Saccharomyces cerevisiae S288C: one gene and its partners. The protein of the gene in region 1 interacts with the protein of each later gene in a biochemical or structural test. Each region holds a gene or a part of one and is shown on either strand. Other genes may lie near its edges.

Evidence for each region.
Region 2: the proteins of ATG9 (region 1) and ATG11 form a complex in vitro, tested with the Saccharomyces cerevisiae proteins (3 studies listed by BioGRID).
Region 3: the proteins of ATG9 (region 1) and ATG17 form a complex in vitro, tested with the Saccharomyces cerevisiae proteins (3 studies listed by BioGRID).

What each region holds. Positions count from the first base shown.
Region 1 is NC_001136.10:183,325-188,828, forward strand, and holds ATG9 (autophagy protein ATG9), read left to right. Parts: upstream 1-1,600; coding exon 1,601-4,594; downstream 4,595-5,504. Other genes in the region: RPC53 (DNA-directed RNA polymerase III subunit C53), read left to right, coding at 19-1,287; snoRNA-binding rRNA-processing protein NOP14, read right to left, coding at 4,830-5,504. UniProt on the Saccharomyces cerevisiae protein: Phospholipid scramblase involved in autophagy and cytoplasm to vacuole transport (Cvt) vesicle formation.
Region 2 is NC_001148.4:660,428-666,588, reverse strand, and holds ATG11 (autophagy protein ATG11), read left to right. Parts: upstream 1-1,915; coding exon 1,916-5,452; downstream 5,453-6,161. Other genes in the region: mitogen-activated protein kinase SMK1, read right to left, coding at 1-309; YPR053C (uncharacterized protein), read left to right, coding at 346-801; NHP6A (high-mobility group nucleosome-binding protein), read left to right, coding at 615-896; peptide alpha-N-acetyltransferase MAK3, read right to left, coding at 1,099-1,629; TAH18 (NAPDH-dependent diflavin reductase), read right to left, coding at 5,536-6,161. UniProt on the Saccharomyces cerevisiae protein: Involved in cytoplasm to vacuole transport (Cvt), pexophagy, mitophagy and nucleophagy. Recruits mitochondria for their selective degradation via autophagy (mitophagy) during starvation, through its interaction with ATG32.
Region 3 is NC_001144.5:971,208-975,272, reverse strand, and holds ATG17 (protein kinase regulatory subunit ATG17), read left to right. Parts: upstream 1-2,102; coding exon 2,103-3,356; downstream 3,357-4,065. Other genes in the region: mRNA splicing protein SPP382, read right to left, coding at 1-1,878; guanine nucleotide exchange factor DCK1, read right to left, coding at 3,578-4,065. UniProt on the Saccharomyces cerevisiae protein: Autophagy-specific protein that functions with ATG13, ATG29, and CIS1/ATG31 in response to autophagy-inducing signals as a scaffold to recruit other ATG proteins to organize pre-autophagosomal structure (PAS) formation.

The sequences.
Region 1 (5,504 bases):
GGATAGCATTCATTAAGTATGAGCAGTAATAAAGGAAATGGGCGCTTGCCATCATTAAAAGATTCCTCCTCCAATGGAGGAGGATCTGCCAAGCCCTCATTAAAGTTTAAACCAAAAGCAGTTGCAAGAAAGTCCAAGGAAGAAAGAGAAGCAGCTGCGTCCAAAGTAAAGCTAGAGGAGGAATCTAAGAGAGGTAATGACAAGAAACATTTCAATAACAAGAATAAAAGAGTAACCGGCGCTGGCGGCCAGCAAAGGCGAATGGCCAAATACTTAAATAACACACACGTTATCTCTAGCGGTCCATTGGCGGCTGGGAACTTTGTAAGTGAGAAGGGTGATTTGAGAAGAGGATTCATCAAATCAGAAGGAAGCGGGTCATCTCTTGTGCAAAAGGGCCTGGAAACTATTGACAATGGTGCTGAGAGCTCTGAGAATGAGGCAGAAGACGATGATAATGAAGGTGTAGCGTCCAAATCTAAGAAGAAGTTCAATATGGGAAAAGAATTCGAGGCACGCAATCTCATAGAGGACGAAGATGACGGCGAAAGTGAAAAGAGCAGTGACGTCGACATGGATGACGAAGAATGGAGATCTAAACGGATTGAACAGTTATTCCCTGTGAGACCTGTCCGCGTAAGACACGAAGACGTTGAAACTGTCAAAAGAGAAATACAAGAAGCTCTTTCAGAAAAGCCAACTCGTGAACCAACCCCCAGTGTGAAGACAGAGCCTGTCGGAACCGGATTACAATCTTATTTGGAAGAAAGAGAAAGGCAAGTCAATGAGAAACTGGCAGATCTTGGACTTGAAAAGGAGTTTCAATCGGTTGATGGGAAAGAAGCGGCCGCTGAGTTGGAATTATTAAATGCAGATCATCAGCATATATTACGAAAACTAAAGAAAATGAATAATAAACCAGAAAGATTCATGGTATTCCAGTTACCTACTAGGTTACCAGCTTTTGAAAGACCCGCTGTGAAAGAAGAAAAAGAAGACATGGAAACCCAGGCTAGCGACCCTTCAAAGAAGAAGAAGAATATTAAAAAGAAGGACACGAAGGATGCTTTGTCTACTAGAGAACTTGCCGGCAAGGTTGGGTCTATACGGGTTCACAAATCTGGAAAACTTTCCGTGAAAATTGGAAATGTGGTGATGGATATTGGCAAAGGTGCCGAAACCACATTTTTACAAGATGTTATAGCATTAAGTATCGCTGATGATGCATCCTCAGCGGAACTTCTAGGCCGTGTGGACGGTAAAATAGTAGTCACACCTCAAATCTAATCGCACTCGCATCTGTCGAGTATATAAATGAATATACACAGTCATAAATACTTCTAGAACAAATTACACTAATTAAGATGCTTAGATTCCCATTCAAAAGGTACTATTGACGTCTTGTCTTCTACAATTTCTCATCCTCTTTGAACATTGGTAATGTTATTCTAGTTATTGTTACCCAGTTTCGGAACTTTAGGGGAGCCACACTTTAAACAAAAAGAAGCGCCATAACCACCGTGAAGTAATGAGTATCTCACTTTGATAAGAAGACATTTAAGAACAGCCTGAAATATCAAAATCACGGAATTATTAGGTTATGGAGAGAGATGAATACCAGTTACCCAACTCTCATGGGAAGAATACTTTCTTATCGCGAATATTTGGTTTACAATCGGATGAAGTTAATCCTTCTCTTAATAGCCAGGAGATGAGCAACTTCCCTTTACCAGACATAGAGAGAGGCTCATCTTTATTGCATTCTACTAACGACAGCCGCGAAGATGTAGATGAGAATGACTTACGTGTTCCTGAGTCTGACCAAGGCACTAGTACAGAAGAAGAGGATGAAGTAGATGAAGAGCAAGTCCAGGCGTATGCTCCACAGATTAGTGATGGATTGGATGGAGACCACCAGCTAAATTCTGTAACGAGCAAAGAAAATGTACTTGAAACGGAAAAAAGCAATTTAGAAAGACTGGTTGAAGGCTCTACCGATGATTCTGTGCCCAAAGTCGGACAGCTTTCGTCAGAAGAAGAAGAGGATAATGAGTTCATAAATAATGATGGATTTGATGACGATACGCCCCTTTTTCAAAAAAGCAAGATTCATGAATTTAGCTCTAAGAAAAGCAATACTATAGAGGACGGTAAACGACCTTTGTTTTTCAGGCATATCTTACAGAATAACCGCCCTCAACGTGATACCCAAAAGCTATTTACTTCGTCGAACGCCATTCACCATGATAAGGACAAGAGTGCAAATAATGGTCCCCGTAACATTAATGGTAATCAAAAGCATGGCACTAAATACTTTGGTAGTGCTACACAACCTCGGTTTACCGGTTCGCCCTTAAATAATACAAACAGGTTCACTAAATTGTTTCCATTAAGAAAGCCAAATTTACTGAGCAATATATCCGTTTTAAACAATACCCCGGAAGATAGAATCAATACGTTGAGCGTGAAAGAGCGGGCTCTGTGGAAATGGGCAAACGTAGAAAACCTCGATATATTTCTTCAAGATGTTTACAATTATTATCTGGGAAATGGGTTCTATTGCATCATACTGGAAAAAATATTGAATATATGCACTTTGCTTTTTGTTGTTTTTGTTTCTACATATATGGGTCACTGTGTTGACTACTCCAAATTACCGACTAGTCACCGGGTTTCGGATATTATTATCGACAAGTGTTATTCTAATAGTATAACGGGGTTCACAAAGTTTTTCCTTTGGATGTTTTATTTCTTCGTGATTCTCAAAATTGTTCAACTCTACTTTGATGTTCAAAAATTATCAGAATTACAAAACTTTTACAAGTATCTTTTAAATATATCGGATGACGAACTTCAAACTTTGCCCTGGCAAAATGTGATACAGCAGCTAATGTACTTGAAGGATCAAAACGCTATGACGGCAAATGTTGTGGAAGTCAAAGCCAAGAATAGAATCGACGCGCATGACGTTGCCAATAGAATCATGAGAAGAGAAAACTATCTCATAGCACTTTACAATAGCGACATCCTGAATTTATCCTTGCCTATTCCATTATTTAGGACCAACGTTCTGACAAAAACACTAGAATGGAATATTAATTTATGCGTCATGGGCTTTGTGTTCAACGAGTCCGGATTTATTAAACAAAGTATTTTAAAACCTTCTCAAAGAGAATTCACGAGAGAAGAATTACAAAAAAGATTCATGCTGGCAGGATTTCTTAATATTATATTGGCACCATTTCTGGTCACATACTTTGTTTTGCTTTATTTTTTCAGATATTTTAATGAGTATAAAACTTCTCCTGGATCTATTGGTGCTCGTCAATACACACCAATTGCTGAATGGAAATTCCGTGAGTACAATGAACTTTACCATATTTTTAAGAAAAGAATAAGTTTGAGCACAACCTTAGCTAACAAGTATGTTGATCAGTTCCCGAAGGAAAAGACCAATTTGTTTCTGAAATTTGTTTCCTTTATTTGTGGATCATTTGTGGCCATTTTAGCTTTTCTCACTGTATTCGATCCAGAAAACTTTTTAAACTTTGAAATCACCTCGGACAGATCTGTCATTTTCTACATTACTATTCTGGGTGCTATATGGTCTGTAAGTAGAAATACAATAACCCAGGAGTACCATGTTTTCGACCCCGAAGAGACGCTCAAGGAGTTGTATGAATATACACACTATCTACCAAAGGAATGGGAAGGAAGATATCACAAAGAGGAAATCAAACTAGAGTTCTGTAAATTGTACAACTTGAGAATAGTAATACTTTTGAGGGAACTCACTAGCCTGATGATAACACCGTTTGTACTTTGGTTTTCGTTGCCCTCGTCAGCCGGCAGGATTGTAGATTTCTTCAGAGAGAATTCTGAATATGTGGACGGATTAGGTTACGTTTGCAAGTATGCTATGTTTAACATGAAAAACATAGACGGTGAAGATACACACAGCATGGATGAAGACAGTTTAACGAAAAAGATTGCCGTGAACGGAAGTCATACACTCAACAGTAAACGAAGGAGTAAATTTACCGCCGAAGACCATAGCGATAAAGATTTGGCAAATAATAAAATGTTACAATCATATGTATATTTTATGGATGATTATTCCAACAGTGAAAACTTAACAGGGAAGTACCAATTGCCTGCAAAAAAAGGCTATCCGAATAATGAAGGCGATTCATTTCTCAACAATAAGTATTCTTGGAGAAAGCAATTTCAGCCAGGTCAAAAGCCGGAGCTATTTAGAATAGGTAAGCATGCTCTCGGCCCTGGCCATAATATTTCCCCTGCTATATATTCTACAAGGAATCCCGGCAAGAACTGGGATAACAATAATAATGGTGATGACATTAAGAACGGGACCAATAATGCTACAGCTAAAAATGATGACAATAATGGCAATAATGATCATGAATACGTACTAACAGAGTCTTTCCTTGATTCGGGCGCATTCCCTAATCATGATGTAATAGACCATAATAAAATGCTAAACTCAAATTACAATGGTAATGGCATACTCAATAAGGGTGGTGTCTTAGGACTTGTTAAAGAGTATTACAAGAAGTCTGACGTCGGAAGATAAGGCAGACTGTGTCGTGTACATCATCCAATATAACTATATATATAACTGTTTCCTTTCTTTTTCGTATTTACCTAAATGCATATATTATTCAGTTCCCACTAATTTTGTACTACAATAATAAGAGAATCCCTTCCCTGTTTTAGAAATGAGTAGTTCTTTTCTTTTTCATAAATAATACAGTTGTCTCTGAGAAGCCTAATAAGAAAAAAAGAGGTTAATAAATTATTATTATTGGTTATTTCTTTCCGCCACGTAGTTTTCTTTCTCTTTCATACTTGTTTTTTTCCGCACCTTCTTCGGTATTAATAGTGTTAACAATATGAGCCATCTTTGCATGGTAGTCGCTGCTCTCCTTGTTCTTTTCTTCAATTCTTTGTCTAGCTTCAAATTTGGCGTCTTTACGGATTTCTTTCATAGTGAATTTACGTTCCTTCTTTAGTTGGGCCTTCATCTTATTTATCTCACTTCTTGTTCTATCAGGATCGTACGATTTTTTATCAGGATTGAAGTTTTCTTCGTATTTAGGAGCATGCGTAGGTATGGATACGGGTTTGTGGTTCTGTAAAGCCAACGGAATATGTTCTGTGAATTTCGTTAATTTTTCAACTTTGTTCAAAATATTTCTTGGCTTTTCAAAATCAGAATACTTTGAGGTGTATGCACTTAATAACTGCTGAATCGGTAAAATAATTTCATTGAAAGCAGGTAAGCTCTTCCACACAGTAGAGATAGTTGCATCTAAAGATTCCATAACATTTAGTAAAACGGAGACACATTGATCAACCGGATGTGCCTCGGTATCCATTGTTGACAAGGTATGTAATGGAATAATAGTTGATCTCTTTTTTGTAAAGTCAACGTCCAATGGAAGCCCCAACTCGTAAGAGTCTAGTCTAATATTTTCAAAATC
Region 2 (6,161 bases), on another chromosome or scaffold:
TAGATTTACAATATTTTTATGGCCCTTGAAGAAGTTCATGAATTTTAGCTCACGGATGGCCCTTTTCAAAAGGATCTCCTTATTAAAGATGTTGCTGATCTTCTTTACCGCTATCCTAGCAGCTGGGCTTCGACCCTTAAACTTCACTGAGCACACTGTCCCATAGGCTCCCTTGCCCAGGAATTGGATTATCTCGTAGTATCCTGGGATGGATATTCTCTCCTTGGCAAAAATCGTCCTCTGTTGAGGAGCACCGAGGTTGGAGGCCACATTTATGGCTCTGGTATTATCTGTAAGTGTGCAATTCATTCTTGGAGCGTTGAGCACGTCTACATTTCTATCGATATGATGTATCGCACGACGTTAAATACTGTTCAAGTGTCACAAATTAGTGGCGCCGAATTCTACCCTCACGCCTCGTCGCGCGCGATACTTTTCGAATCACCCGCCTTTTGCCGCCTATTTTTTTCGCCGTTCGTTTATTTAGCGGTGGGCAAACAAACAACACAGTATTTATTACTGGTACCGACTGTTAAAGAAGGACTGTTTTGGGACGTGTTTTTTTCCTGTTTTTGCTCAATTGACTACCCTATACATAGTAAAGCACAGTCGCAATGGTCACCCCAAGAGAACCTAAGAAGAGAACCACTAGAAAGAAGAAGGACCCAAATGCCCCTAAGAGGGCTTTGTCCGCCTACATGTTTTTCGCTAACGAAAACAGAGATATTGTTCGTTCTGAAAATCCAGATATCACATTTGGACAAGTCGGCAAGAAGTTGGGTGAGAAGTGGAAGGCTCTAACGCCAGAGGAAAAGCAGCCTTACGAGGCCAAGGCCCAGGCCGATAAGAAGAGATATGAATCCGAAAAGGAGTTATATAACGCCACTTTGGCTTAGGGATACTTCCTCCCCGCGTTTTTGTCTGTGTGATTTAATTTCTTTTCCTCTTGTTCTTTTTGAAACTTGCTTTATTATCTCTCTCCTTTCTATTCCTCTTTTCTCTACTGCCCTTTTTCTATATCTATACATATGATTAAATAAATAAATAAAAAAATTGTATTATTAATATATATTTTATCATCATCGAGTGTTTTTCCTTTTATGTGGCCAGCCGGCCATGCATTAGGAACGTAGACCGAGTGCAGCTCTTTTCAGTCAACGGCAATATCAGTTTAAAGGCGTCCCCTTCATTCAAGTAGTAGCGGAACATCCGTTTCATTCTGATGAAACCCATTCCTTCATATAAGTTTAGAGCCGCCGAATTTTCCACCTCTGTTTCTAACATGATCTCATCGCAATGTTCCCTTTGCATTTTATCTATGGCAATTTCCACTAGTTTCTTTGCTATGCCATGCCCGCGGTATGTGGACTCTACGGCTAGCATTCCTATATATCCTCTCAGTCTCACGTTTCTATGCGGGTCCATCTTACACACTATGCAACCAATGGGTATGTTAGGCGTTCCACTCTTGTTGTCAACGGCAATGTACGTTAACTCGGGCCATTGGTTCAAGAAATACCTATATACGTATATCGAGTACGGCTCTGATAGATCCGCATCTATTAGTTTTTTAATACTAGCAAACTGCTCTTCGTTACGTATGTCCAATGGCTTGTACACTATTTCCATGTCCTGACCCAACGCCTTTTCTGTAGTAGTGGCTTTTTTATCTTGTAATCTCTTGTGAAACTTTGTTCTTCATGATTATTATTTTTAATAAGGCTTGCCATGGAGAGCCTTTTTATCGCTTTTGGCTACCCGGTTTCTTGGTAGGAATGGAACTATATAATAGCGATGCCCTTATTTGAGTACCATTTTCTCAAATCAGAACCAAAGTAGTCCTCCTTTGAACAACGATTATTTTAGTGTACTGTTGTTGTTCGGAAAGTACTTCTTTTATTTTCTTTTATACATCATGGCAGACGCTGATGAATATAGCACTGCACCTACCCAGCAAGAAATAACACCACTGCAGACAACAGCCACTATCATAAATGCAATATCTGGAGAATGTATAACTACGAATGTTGATTTTTTCGTTTCCCTGGACAAATTTAAACAGTTCATTGCTAGGAAATGGAAGATTCCTCCCGATCAGCTGCTGATTCTACTACCTTATGGTAACAAACTAAAACCGTCGATGTTTAAAGAGCTGCTTATTAATAGGTCTTTTACTCTAAATGATTTTTACGTTTACGACAGACGACTATTCTCACTTGTTAGTAAACCGACACCAACAAATCTTTTAACGTCTAAGGATTCTAATCCCATGAACTCCCCTAATTCCAACGACTTGACAGAGACTCTGGAATATTTAATTAAGAATAGTCATATATCTCAATACCAAGGTAGCGATACTATTATGATCAAGCCTATGCCCTCGCCTTTGGAGGACGCAGACGTAGATCTTTCGCGTTTAAATTACCATTCCGTAACTAGCTTACTGACGACGAACCTTGGTTGGCTAAGCGCTTTAGAAATAGATGTACATTATTTTAAGAGCCTCATACCAGACATAATAGCCCATATTAAGCGTATTTTTGATGGCTTAACCGTTTGCTCACAATATTTGAAGCTGTACTGCTTTGATGTAGAAAGTTTGTATAACTCAAACGTTCAATTTTTAAATCAGCTGGTAGACAATGGTATGACTTCAAAATGGGAAAAATGCTTCAATGACACCTTGAGTAAGTTGACTGCTTTAGAGGGTGATTCTTTACAAAAGTTCATTAATATTGAATCTCTCCTGGAGAACGAAAAATCTGTAAAGATTCTAAATCATTCAATCAATGGTAAGCTGAATAAAATTAAGAGGGAAATTGACGAAAATGCAAGTTTTAGAGATATTATAACAGTAAACATCGATCGACTGCGGCAAATGTTTACCCCGAATGAATCTAAATTCGAGCTTGAAGACCAAATGGCAGAGAGCTTTGAGGTACTGGTATCAGAAATGCGAACAAGAAGCAGAAATGTACTTGATAAAGAAGAAGAAGAATTCAATAGTCAAGAATTTTTGAAAAGCATGAATGTGATGTTGGAAAAGGATAAAAAAGAATCAGTGAAAACTCTCTTCACTATATCACAAGCGCTGTATTCACAAATAGGAGAACTAATAGATTTAAAAAAAAGTCTACAAAAGCATGCAGTAGCCATTTTGGGTAACATAGCATTCACCCAGATGGAAATCCTAGGTATTAAAAGACTATTATTGAATGAATGTAATAAAGATTTAGAGCTATACAAGAAATATGAGGTAGAATTTGCACAGGTAGAAGATTTGCCTCTGATATATGGGCTTTATTTAATCGAAAAATATCGTAGGCTATCATGGTTCCAACAAATTTTGTCATTTATCTCAAATTTTAATCAAGATTTAGAGTTGTTCAAACAAAATGAATTACGAACAAGAAATAAATGGGTTAAAAATTTCGGTTCCATCGCGACTGTTTTTTGCGAAGATCTATTGTCTTCCTCTGATTTCAAACGTCTAAACGAATATCACTCTCATACTTCTCCACCAAATGAAGATGAGGAAGATGAAAATGAGAATTCTATAGCAAATTACCGCCAAGACCTGGTAAAAGTATCGCAAGCCATTGATAATTATATGACGCAAATTAAAGAAACAGATGTTTCTGAACCGATCATTGATCTACTTTCGAAAACACTTTTTGAGACGAAGAGATTTCATATAATATATTCCAATTTCAAAAATAATAACAATAATAGTTCTAATGGCAATAGCATTTCCCCTGAAGGGTCTATTGCCTTGAAAAGTGATGATGTAGTCAAAGGATACAAAACAAGAATAAAAAAATTAGAATCGCTATTACATGAGTTTCAATATTCCGACATAGGCCATTGGCCTCAAGGTGTTCTCAATACCCATCTTAAGCCATTTCGTGGTTCTGCTACGAGTATAAACAAGAAGAAATTCCTGGGAGCATCTGTATTACTAGAGCCTGCCAATATTTCTGAAGTGAACATTGATAGTGTTTCGCAAGCTAATAATCATCAAATTCAAGAGTTAGAGAGTAATGTGGATGATCTATTACACCAACTTCAACTATTGAAAGAAGAAAATAATCGAAAATCAATGCAAATTTCGGAAATGGGGAAAAAAATAAGTGATCTAGAGGTGGAGAAGACAGCTTATCGCGAAACTTTGACTAATTTGAATCAAGAATTGGCAAGGTTAACTAATGAAGAACAATCGCATAGAACTGAAATTTTTACCCTCAATGCCTCTTTCAAAAAGCAATTGAATGATATAATTAGCCAAGACAATGAAAAGATAGAAAAGCTAACAGGTGACTATGATGATGTTAGCAAATCGAGGGAACGATTGCAAATGGATCTGGATGAATCTAATAAGAAGCATGAACAAGAGGTCAATTTGTTGAAGGCTGATATTGAAAGGCTCGGTAAACAAATTGTGACTTCAGAGAAAAGTTACGCTGAGACTAACTCAAGCTCGATGGAAAAAGGTGAGAAATTCGAAACCATTCCTCTTGCTGAGGACCCAGGTAGGGAAAACCAGATATCTGCATACACACAGACTCTGCAAGATAGAATATTTGATATAATATCGACAAATATTTTCATTTTGGAGAACATTGGGTTGCTGTTAACCTTCGACAATAATAATAACATCCAAATTAGACGAGTCAAGGGATTGAAAAAGGGAACCGCCCAAAGTAATATACTGGATGAAAGCACACAAATGCTGGACGCACATGATAATTCTCTAATAAAAAGTCCGGTTTTCCAGAAATTGAAAGATGAGTATGAATTAATAAAGTCAGTTGCCAATGGATCTGAAAAGGATACACAGCAAAGCATTTTTCTGGGGAATATCACTCAATTATATGACAATAAGCTTTATGAAGTTGCCGTTATCAGGAGATTCAAGGATATTGAGACCTTGGCCAAAAAATTAACTAAAGAAAATAAGATCAAGAGAACGCTATTGGAGAGATTCCAAAGGGAAAAGGTGACTTTGAGGAACTTTCAAATTGGCGATTTAGCATTATTTTTGCCAACACGAGAAAACGTTAATTCTGTCGGGTCTATGTCGTCTTCCACCTCATCATTGAGCTCATCATTTTCATCTGTTGATTTATCAACTCCACCGCCTTTGGATGCTATGTCTATACAATCGTCTCCCTCGGTGATACATAGTAATGTAATCAATCAAGCCAGTATATCTGGCAGGGACAAGAATAAACTGATGAGGCCTTGGGCTGCATTTACAGCTTTTGAAGAAAGCACAAGATATTTTTTAAAGGACGAAAAAGGATTGACGAAGGGGAAAGAATGGTTTGTAGGCAGAATTGTCACTTTGGAACATTTCGTAGCAGATAGCCCCTCTAATAATCCATTTAGACTACCAAAGGGCTCAGTTTGGTTTCAGGTCACTGCGGTTGTGGTTTCATACCAGGGAGTTTGAACAGTGCTAAACGTTTGTCACAAATGACAAGATTTTAATTATGTATCTATTTAACATTATAATGCGATAAGTCTTGTTATCGACTACCAAGTTTCCTGGATATATCTATCAGATTTTTCCATTTCTTTCAGGTATTTTTTGGCAGTTTCTTCATCACTAAAATTGCCCCATTTTTTTAACATTTCAATGAATGTTAATCTGACTTGGATAGGCATTTTACCTGATGAGCCACATAAGAAAAAAACGGCGTCTTTATTAACTACCAAATTAGTTATTTCCTCACCTAATCTCCATAAGTAGTCTTGGACATATTTAACACCTGGTGAATTTTCCTCATCTCTGGAAAAGGATGAATGTAAGGCAATTTTGCCCTTACGGAACCAATCTTCCAGCATATCTTTATAAATATAATCTTTATCTTTATATCTACAACCGAAGAGGAGTTTGATATCTTTAGATATCTCCGCTTTAACCACTGATAATAATGGTGCTAGACCGACACCCGGTCCGACAAGAATCATAGGTTTATTCAAAAATTCCTTTTTGATTATGTGATTATTTTGTAACTTATACCTTATCTGTTCCCCCTCTTGCAATCGTGCAATGTAGTTAGTGCAAATTCCTCTTCGAATTTTCCTTAAGATAGTTTTATATTTTACTATCGCAACTGTTAATTCAATATTAGGATCCCCAGGGCCGCTAGATATAG
Region 3 (4,065 bases), on another chromosome or scaffold:
AAGCGGAATATTTTGTACAGTATAGGTAGGTTCTTGTTCGCTTTGACTAATATCGTCGATCACTTGTGTTTCCATTAAGTTTCGTAAACCCTGTCTCAAATCGAAATCTTCATCTAATGTAGATTTATCAAGGTGGTACCTATGAGACATAGCGAATATATTATAGCTTTTTCTGATCTCCGATAGTTCTATTTCTGTTGGTAAAGAGTGCTCAAATACCGTATTCATCAGCCAATTAAGCCACCACTTTGACTTGTGTAAGTCTTCCACTGTACTATAAAGATGCCATTGATAGAGTATTTTGTTTATATTATTAAAGGTTCCCCGCATCATCAATTCATACTGTTTTGGATGAAAATAATGGGTATAACTTCTCAGTTTTTTCATAAAATAGAAAAATCCAGAATCTTTTTCTTTCCATTCCTGTTTTTCCTTCCAATCCTCTAACTCGTAGATGGGGTCATTATGTCTTTCCCACAGCTCGTCCAGGAATTTAGGAAGAAACTCTTTACATAAAATTTTGTAATATCTTCGTTCGCAGATAAGTTCTTTGATAAATATAATATCAGAATTAGTGATACAAAATGATTCCCTATGGTACCAATTTTTACAATAAGCAAAAAATTTTGCTTCAATCTTGTCCACAATTGTGTCTTTGATCTTATCGTCAATTAAAACCATAAAATCCAAGACCCATATTCTTGGCGAAACATGGTCTACTTCATCGTGAAGTTCCCAATTATCTAATTCCTGTAATAGCTTTGGATAGACGAATTCCTCCATGATATGCTCTTTACACCCGATAAAACTTAGCACTTGTTGGAAATCCAGTAATAGGGTGATAGCGCTGTCGATTTTTGATTTAGTCATATCAAACCCTTCCCAAAATTTTTTGAGTTTGGGATATATAACTTTAAAGATTGTTGTTTGTGTCCTGTTCAAAAATTTCGAAGTTGTATCCATTCTATATGCGAGTAGTTCTATAATTTGCGTTAACTCATCAAGTATATCGTTTGGCTTTTCTAAATGATCCAAATCAAATTCTATTAGTAATTCTTTTCTCAATAAGCAGGACGTTAGCCTATCTATGAGCTCGTCGTCGGACAATTTTAAAATAGCACCAATCTTATCATACAGGGAAACATGCTTGCTTTCGTCCCTCAAAGTAACCTCCAATTCAGAAAGAAGCCTCTCTTGTCCATAATATTCTTTGACTTGCACTTCTAACGGAGAGGTGCGCTGACGAATAGCTTCCAAACTTTTTTCAATACCCAGCAGCTCTTGCAATATCTCCACAACAACATCTTTTTTCGGCTTTGGTACTGCATTTAAAGGGTCTAATTCTTTTAGGATACTCTCTGGTAATTGTACCCCTGCTAACCTCAATTCTCTCAGTGTTCGCACTATAGTCATATCACCACTATCATTTAACAACGCTTCGCCTAAAACCTCCGTGGAGGTTTTATTGAATTTGACTTGTTCTATACCTTCAACCACCTCATCCTCAGAGCTCAAGTAATCCTCATTTTCACTGTGATAGTTACTGGAGTTGGTATTTGAAAACATTCCTAGACCTGCATTGTGCATAGGTCGGCTTTGGGTTTCTATTGGTGTAGTTATACCAGAACCATCCTTCCCAAGGCCTTTTCCCGCAACATATCCCATACTCGAAAGTAACTTCGCACCAATACCATATGTCTTCGTTAATTTTGAGATCGTTGGGGCATTGCCGCTACTAGTTTTCAAGGCATCATTAGTGTATGTCATGTCACTATTCATGCTTGAATTATTATCTTCCTCATCGCTATAATTATAGGAATCGATTCTTCTTTTTTTGAAAAAGAACTTTTTATCTGTGTTGGAGTCCGAATCCTCCATGTTTTGGCGTACTGAAGGCTTAAGTTCTTCGACCTCTCTCGGTTGTACTATTTCGAAATTTTGGATTTTTGTTATTGTTTTGACATAATGTAAATACTAGATGCGCGCTCTAAGGCCTCAGTATTAAAAATTGCAAGATATCCCTAACTTGATAATTATTTGAAAGTCGCATAACGTACGATAAATTCGATACTGCGAGGATATTATCAACGTATTTAACACCTATGAACGAAGCAGATGTTACAAAATTTGTTAATAATGCCAGGAAAACGCTGACCGATGCTCAACTTTTATGTTCAAGTGCTAATTTAAGGATTGTAGATATTAAGAAAAAATTGTCATCTTGGCAGTTGAGTATTTCAAAACTCAATTTTCTAATAGTTGGCTTGAGACAGCAAGGAAAGTTTCTTTACACTATTTTAAAGGAAGGCATTGGGACAAAGCTAATCCAGAAACAATGGAATCAAGCTGTCTTAGTGGTCTTAGTTGATGAGATGAAGTACTGGCAATATGAAATCACTTCTAAAGTACAAAGGTTGGATGGTATAGTAAATGAATTGAGCATATCAGAAAAAGATGATACCGATCCCTCTAAACTAGGAGATTACATCTCGAGAGACAACGTTAACTTATTGAATGACAAACTGAAAGAAGTGCCAGTAATTGAGCGTCAAATTGAAAACATTAAGCTTCAATACGAAAATATGGTCAGAAAAGTTAACAAAGAACTGATTGATACCAAGTTGACGGACGTAACTCAAAAATTCCAAAGTAAATTTGGTATAGATAACCTGATGGAAACAAATGTTGCAGAGCAGTTTAGCAGGGAACTAACGGACCTTGAAAAAGATTTAGCAGAGATAATGAATTCATTGACACAGCACTTTGATAAGACATTGCTGTTACAAGATAAAAAAATTGATAACGATGAACGTGAGGAGCTGTTTAAGGTGGTACAAGGCGACGACAAAGAACTATACAACATTTTCAAAACTCTGCATGAGGTAATTGATGACGTGGACAAAACAATTCTTAACTTGGGTCAATTTTTGCAGGCAAAAATAAAGGAAAAGACAGAACTACACAGCGAAGTTTCTGAAATAATAAACGATTTCAATAGAAATTTGGAATATCTATTAATCTTTAAAGATATTTCCAATCTGATTGATAGCTTCAAAAATTCCTGTACACAAGATATTCAAACAACTAAGGAACTTTGTGAATTTTATGATAATTTTGAAGAAAGCTACGGTAACTTAGTTCTAGAAGCAAAGAGGAGAAAGGATGTGGCAAACAGAATGAAAACTATATTGAAAGATTGTGAAAAGCAGTTGCAGAATTTAGATGCTCAGGACCAGGAAGAACGTCAGAATTTTATAGCGGAAAATGGAACTTATCTTCCTGAGACAATCTGGCCCGGTAAAATTGACGATTTTTCTTCCCTGTACACTTTAAATTACAACGTGAAGAATCCTTAGAAAAAAGGAAAAAAAGGATACGGTACAAAGATTCAATAATTGTATCAATATTTCGAAAAATACTTTATCAAAAAAGCAATACTTGAAGGAGAAAGGAAAAAATTCGCTGTCTTCTTCACTTTTACGACAAAGAAAAATGTGCCCTTTTCAACTAAAAGTCATGAATGAATAAATAAATGATTACATATGCGTATATTTTATAGTGAACAACTTCTGACATATTATCCCGAATGTGAGTAATCATGCTTGTGCTGTGAATCTGTGTTGGTGTTTGGCTGTGACCCTGCCAAAAAGGTGCTCGAAGTGCCGGAAACAATTCCACTTTTATCCAAACTGCTCGTAGTGGACGAGTGGGATAACGTTCTTGTTAAATATTTTCCAAAAAGTAAACTGTTTGGGCCAAATGAGTCGCTATGTTCTAATACAAATTGGCTATGATTGGACCCTGAGGTGTGATGATCCCTTCCAGAAAAGCTTGCCTTTTTATTGGGGTTCTTGTGCGAAATTATTCGAGCAGTAATCATGTTATTCCTGCTACGATTGGCCTCACTGAGAGTACGACTATATCTTTCTATCTCCTCAGCGAAATTTTCCTCAAAAAGACGCACTAGAAGATCATGTGATGGTTTTAGATCCTTTGATGGTAGTAGTTCTGCATGCAACGTTAGACAGCGACCTAATACTGCAACAAGCTCATCAAAAGCTAGCG